2 linked regions of the Saccharomyces cerevisiae S288C genome follow. The protein of the gene in region 2 binds, or shares a complex with, the protein of the main gene of each other region. Each region holds a gene or a part of one and is shown on either strand. Other genes may lie near its edges.

Region 1 (3,831 bases), on a different chromosome or scaffold from region 2:
AGGAAGATGATGTGCTAGAGGTAACTTTTTTAGAAGATGAATTACCGCTCCCATGAGATTTTAACATATCAATGGATCCAATAACGGACACTTTTATGCCCAAGTGGTCTACCTTTTTACTATCCCGAACTCTCAAAGTAACAATTCCACCAAGGGATTCGCCATCTTCATAGACGGGCAAGCTTTCCTTCATTGATTTGTAACTGGAATTACTTGATCTTGTTGCAATGTCTACGTGTTTGCGAGATTCCTCATTATCGAAAAGGATCTCAATATCAATCGGCGGCTTGAAAAAAATACTCATAATGCTAATAATAGTTGTGCTTGGATTCTTTTACAATGTACACATTTTATTATATTTACAGATTTTATATATATGTATATGTGTGCATATATAAAAACTATTTCAACATGAGTAAAGGGAAATCTTCGAAAAGGGTTTGGTATATGTCAGACATAACGTCGATCGTGCATGATGATAAAACATAATATATATCCAATTAAATATCTGATTCTGGCTCTTCCTTGGGTGGTTTTTCGTAAACAAACATATGCTTCGTGATTCTAGGATCACATACTAATTCTTGGGTCCATTCGCTGTTCTTTTCTTTACCCTGTTTGACCCAGTTCTGTGGCCAATCTTTTTCTTCGTCCTTCGCCAAATCAATATCCTTTGCAATATCAAACGGTCTTATACGGGTTTGTCGAACACAGTTAACTACACTTGAACACACGTCCTCTACGTAGAAACGCTTCTGGTAAAAACGATGTATTCTCCTTGGAATGGTAGTAAAACCTATCAAGTTAGGTATTGGAATGACCAATAACGGCTGATTAATCAGAAGCGGGATATTTGTATTGGGGTTTCTTATGAATTCGCCATTTGGAGTTTGTAATTCCGAAGCGATTTGCAGGTCAGGGTATTGGTCTGAAGAAATAAATGGCTTCAAAAATTTTTGCGAATCCTCTGAGCTGTTTTCTTCATCAACCTTTAGATCATCTTGTACTTTGGCCTCTTCCAAAGCAGTCTCTTTCTCGGCATCCACCAGTTCCGTAGCACCGGATTCACTTACCTTTGATTCTATTTGATTTGCTTCTACAACCCCAGTCATCTTAGGCTCAGTGGATCCTGTTTTTTCGGTCTTCTCGATGGGTCCAAGCAAGCCTTCGTGAATACCGGCAATGTACTCCTTATAGGCGCCTCTACCTAAACAAATAACACCACCAGATAATATAGGGTCCTTTGTCAGGGCGTCTTCACTTATTATATGCTTCGGTTTTGGCATTGTATAGAAGATACCTATAACGTTTCTCCAGTCGAAGTTCTCCTTGAACTTTTTACCGATTTCTGGATCAAACGAGTCATCTTCTTCAGCAGGATCTTGAATGATTTTATTGAACGGTAGTAGTGATGAAATTTTACTGGTTGAAGAACCACTTGGTTTTGCTACCGTTTGGTTAGGCTCTTTAACTGGCTGCCCATCCGTCGATGCCAATATTTCCTTTCTCAATTCTCTGATTCTGTTGGCTACATTAGTTCTAATAATCCCTTGCCTATCCTCTTGAACTAATTCATAGTCCAACCCTGCATAATACAGTACAGGCTTAACATATCGTCTCCAAACTTTCAACGAACTCTCCAGATAATCATTTGGAGGAGGTGCAATAAAAACAGTGATCTTTCGTGGCACTTTGTCTACCTCCATGGACTCCTCTGCCAAAGGCTTCACCAAGTCTGTTGCATGGCTCAGAATCTGACGTTGCTTGTATTTGTCATAGGCTATGCCACCGATGGATACTGTTAACACAGACCAAAAGATCATCCAGTTTCGAGAAGGCAGCCTCAAGGCGGGTATACCAAGGGCTTTTAAAGCCGGATTGGTATAGCCAGGCTTCCTAATAGGCTTAGCAATAGGCTTTCCTGATTCAGAAGACATGGTCTATTGAGCTTCTTTTGAGAACAATGGACTTTAAAGCTATGATGTCTTTGCCATCAGTACTATTTTTTCCAGCCTTCGGGCTTAGAAAGACAGCTCCTAAAAATTTGGATTTTTCACCACATTATCTATACAGATCGTTTAAACTAGATACATGACTTACGTTTCTATTATTTAGCACAATCCTCGTGAGCGTGACCTTCGTCGCTCCAATTCAAATTGAAACGGCCCTCTGGAACGACGTACTTCTCTATTTTATCAACAACTTCCTGCGGAGTGGAGGCAACTTGAATGATTTCACCATTCTTCACACTGATGAACCGTTCTTGAATAGAGTGTTTGAGGAACTCCAATAATTTGTCATAGAACCCATCGATATTGAACAAGATAATTGGTTTATTATGAATCCCCAGTTGCGACCACGTGATACATTCCATGATTTCTTCAAAAGTCCCGTATCCACCAGGCATAGCAACAAACGCGTCACTCAAATTTGCCATCATTCTTTTTCTCGTATGCATATCTGGTACAATCGTTGTTTCCCCATACTCTTCAGAAATAGGAGTGGCGCCCTTATGATTTTCTACAGACTCCAACAATGCTTTATTAACATCTTCTTTATCCTCGTCTGTCCTTTCCTTAGACACAAGTGCATTTGGAATGATACCGTGAACCTGTCCGCTTAAATCAGGTCCCATCGTAGACCTTGCTATCTTGCCCATCAAACCAGTAGTGCCTCCACCGTATACCAATTTCCATCCCAGCTTATGGAAAAGGGCTCCTAATTCTTCTGCACTTTCTGAGTATAGCGCCTTAGCGCCAAATGAAGACCCGCAGTAAACACACACAGACTTGCCGCCTACTTGGCCACCACGGCTGCTATTACCTCCATTTTTTTCCATTGTCATCGCCGTTTCTTAGTACTGGATTGCCTGCGATTTACTCTAGGGATCTTCCTATTCAACTGTTGGAAATAATTCTCCTTCCTTAAACGCCCAAAACATGATTATATATCACTGCAGACGGAGTAGTTGACAGCAGTCATCTACCCTAAAGGTCATGATGAAACGTGCTTGGCAATATAAGATGCAACTGCAGTCACTGTGAATATAGGCCAGCGGCGAGACGGAAGCATTACACTTTTACTTTTTATGTGTTACGGTTTTTTAAATAGAAGAAGGATAGGAACTAATGGATGCGTTGACTCCCAGGGACTCCCCCAAGCGCGATGACTCGATGGCCACGAGTGCGGCCACTGCTGCTTCTGCCAAGCCTGATGCTCTGACGATAGGTAAAGAAGGCATTGTCCACGGGCACATCCATAACTACAACAACCTGACCTATATCCATGGTCACCTTCACCACAGCGCGCCTGTGAACGACAGTAGTGCTTCGGCAACACCTGCAGCCGCAGCTGTTGCTGATGCCGCTACTTCCGCATTTGCATCTGGAGCTAGCCATGATATGGGTGGTGATTGCCACGTCAATGAGAAATGCAAGGAGTACACCGACTGCCAACATTTCGAGTTCTTGAATTATCACAATAATCCGTCATTAACAAAATATAATGATACTGCAACGTATAATTCTAATAATCATTCTTTTGCAAACAATTTCCATTCGGTAGCTTCTGATCCGACAAGTCCCCAACAGAATTCTAAAAGCGACCTACCACGTAGAAAAGATTCTTGGTTTAACGACGATCTGATACTGCTGCCCTCTTCCAAGAAAAATAAACCGAACCCACCACCTGGATCCGATGATTGTTATTGTACGCCCAAGATTTTGGAAATATGTTGTGACGAAACTCATCCCAAAAGTGAGGCTAATATAAAACAAGGTGAATCTGATCAACCGACAAAGAAAGACATATCTGAGAACGGCAATGATGTTG
Region 2 (2,957 bases):
AGTCCTTTAGAGGATACTACAGTAGAAAGCTAGAGTCCTGACTTACAACTTGAGCATGCCGTTATGGGCGGCTATTTCATTTCACCTGAACCGTATTAAAATATCATCTTCCTTGCTGCTACAACCTTCATTGTAGCCGGTTTATAAGATTACCATCATTGTCTACCCCTCTTTAACTTCTCCCGAAAAGCAGAGTTGCCCTTAGCTGTATCCTGTTCTAGCTGTGCTAAACTGTACGTTCTTATTAAGCCCATCCTCGTCCGCTGGGCTCACCCAGCGCCTTACATACTTTGCGAAAAAGTCGTTTTTCTGCTTGGTGTTAGGAGCTGTCTCCCATAGTGTAAACTCCCAGTATTGCCTCAACCTCACTTGCTGTACTTTATAGTTGCCGCGCCACCTAAAAAAAAAAACAAAAAAGACACCACCTAAAAAAACGGGTGAGGGGAATGCACGTGACCCAGGTGCGGGTACCATATAAATGTACTTCTAAAATTGTCTACACAGCTTATAATGCTATATATGCAGGTTACTATTATATACAAACAGCACAGACAGTCCTCATATTTACAGCTATTTTTTGGAATCATCAGCTATTTCTTTGGCCACAAATCGCGAATAATGTCGTAGCTGATTCTCTGGCCCGAAACCTCGTGTTTGTACAAATCCTCCAATGAGGCGATTGCTGTAATGCATCTTTGCCACACATCTGTCTATGCAGCATTGCTCACCTTTCGTTAGATCAGGCTCACCAAAGCCCTCATGCGGAATACATTTCTCAAGACACGTACTGAGAATATTGTTGAAAGTCGAGCACATCGCATCGAATTGCACTCCTGCAACGTCTAGCTTCTCTTGCGAGACCTCCTGGTTGCCCCTTAGACTATTTAAAAAGAACGACATCCTTTTCTTGGTGCACTTTAATATTATACGGGAGCTCCGATATCTATTTCAGCAATATAGACTACAATCAACTTTGCTGTTCTTACTTTTTAGTTAACTTTTTTCTTTTCATTCTGCCGCTAATCTACAAACTCGTTACCCTACTAGTACATAAAAGAAGATCAGAATCGATGGGTATTTATTTATATTTGCAATATTATTTATTTATACAATTTATTGTTTTAATAGGGTATCGTTGTAGTGAGTAGTATTCCAGTCCCAGTAGAAGGTCAATTCGGTGACGTTACTGACACTGCTGACGTTACAGACCTTTAGGAAGTCAGTACCAGCTACTCTCTTTTCAGCATAGTCGTAGAAATCATTGATTTCACAAGAGAACCCTGGGCCGGTGGAACAGGTTTCAATTGGAACGACAGCATCGTTAATGACGTATCTGACGTAGGTGTCGTTAGAACATTGGAATTTTTCGGTGTAGACACGAGCACCTTGAGGAACGTACCAGGACTTATGGAAGGTGTTGCCCATGAATGGAACGTATTCGGCAGTTAAGTTGTTTTTGTCGTCAATTATACCAGCGGTGGTCAAATAGTTTAGGATATCGGTATCGTGGGTAAAACTCAACCAGACTTTTAAGTCTTGAGTTTCACTTTGCTTTAACAACTTCAAAGTAGCGTTAAACAAGTTGGCACCGACGGATCTGATCATATCATAACCTGGTCCATCCTGGTAAAACGATACCAGGTCCTGGCCGTATGAGTAACGTACCAATTCATCTTCGGTGAAGATATCACAAACATCACTGTAGCCTCTAGCGTTCAATTCGTATGCACACCATGCAAACAAAGTGTTGGCGTCCTTTGAGGTCAAATTCAAACCCTTGTTTTCTTTGTTTAATCTCTTGGCAATGTCATCCAAGTATGTGGTATCGTATTTGTCCAAAATGTCATCGTTAGCATCTTCATCCCATCCTGGGCACGCATTACCAGCACTCAAAGTGTTTGCGCCGGCGGACATGGCTTCACTGACAGTCTGCAAGGAGATGTTGAATTGGTCACCTAAACCATCAATGAAATATTGAGCAGTGTCATGAACCCTTTCAGAACTAGCGGCGAAAATTGGGAAACTGGTTTGATTTTCGAACATGTAGCCATATTGCGCTAAAAACTCACGAGCATGTCTCTTAGCATCCATCTCACCAGTGTATGGATTCAAAACATTGTCTGAGTTGGCAAAAGTGGTTTCCATTTCCAAATCATCGTCATCACGGATGAAAAACTCGTAATCATCGTTCAAGAATGACAATGAGCCGTTGAATTGACGTGTGTAATTGCTCAACTTATACCATGTTTTCATGATGGTAGCACCTTTACTGTAAGTTGGGTATCTTTCACCATGTCTGGCAAGCATTTGCAATTGTTTCATTTCACAACCTTCAGGCAAGTCACGAGAAATACCATAGTCGCCAGGGAAAGAGAAGTATGGCCCGGCACCACCCAGGAATGGGAATATGTCTTCCTGAGTGCCAATTTTGGCAACATCGGCTAACTCTCCGAGGGGAATTGTACCTGCATTAACTAAAGCAGCGGCTAGAACCGAATAAACAACAGACTTAAACATAGGTAATTTGGAATGGCCCTTTCTTTACTGTAGTATTTTTTTTATGATAATCAAGGCATAATTGACTTCCATCCAGCAAATTTAAGCACTTATATATGTTGCATAGGACTACTCAAAGCTGTTTACTATTTCCCAAACTGGTATTATTTAGTAAATTTCTTTTGAATTTTTTTTTTTTCACTCTTCCTTTTTTTCATTTTTGCGATGCCAGTTCTTTGAGTTTCCCTTATACGGCATATGCACTTAAGGTTTGATTTTGCTAATTAAAGGCGTGCCTAAGCGGCGACTAATACTGTAATATAATATGGGTTCCTGACTGACTACAGGGATTGAAACATCCATTTACCTGTTTCGGATATCTCTGCAGATTTTAATCTTTCGGCAAAATTTAGATAAAAAATTTGGGTATTCGTATTTAGTTTCCAATATTATTTAGTTAT

Evidence for each region.
Region 1: TIM12 (region 2) and TIM54 share a complex: the UniProt entries of both Saccharomyces cerevisiae proteins name them as parts of the TIM22 complex.

What each region holds. Positions count from the first base shown.
Region 1 is NC_001142.9:332,371-336,201, reverse strand, and holds TIM54 (Tim22-complex subunit TIM54), read right to left. Parts: upstream 1,938-3,831; coding exon 501-1,937; downstream 1-500. Other genes in the region: retromer subunit PEP8, read right to left, coding at 1-304; LOG1 (Log1p), read right to left, coding at 2,108-2,845; ZAP1 (Zap1p), read left to right, coding at 3,129-3,831. UniProt on the Saccharomyces cerevisiae protein: Essential component of the TIM22 complex, a complex that mediates the import and insertion of multi-pass transmembrane proteins into the mitochondrial inner membrane.
Region 2 is NC_001134.8:426,585-429,541, forward strand, and holds TIM12 (Tim12p), read right to left. Parts: upstream 901-2,957; coding exon 571-900; downstream 1-570. Other genes in the region: YBR090C (uncharacterized protein), read right to left, coding at 290-474; acid phosphatase PHO3, read right to left, coding at 1,114-2,517. UniProt on the Saccharomyces cerevisiae protein: Essential component of the TIM22 complex, a complex that mediates the import and insertion of multi-pass transmembrane proteins into the mitochondrial inner membrane.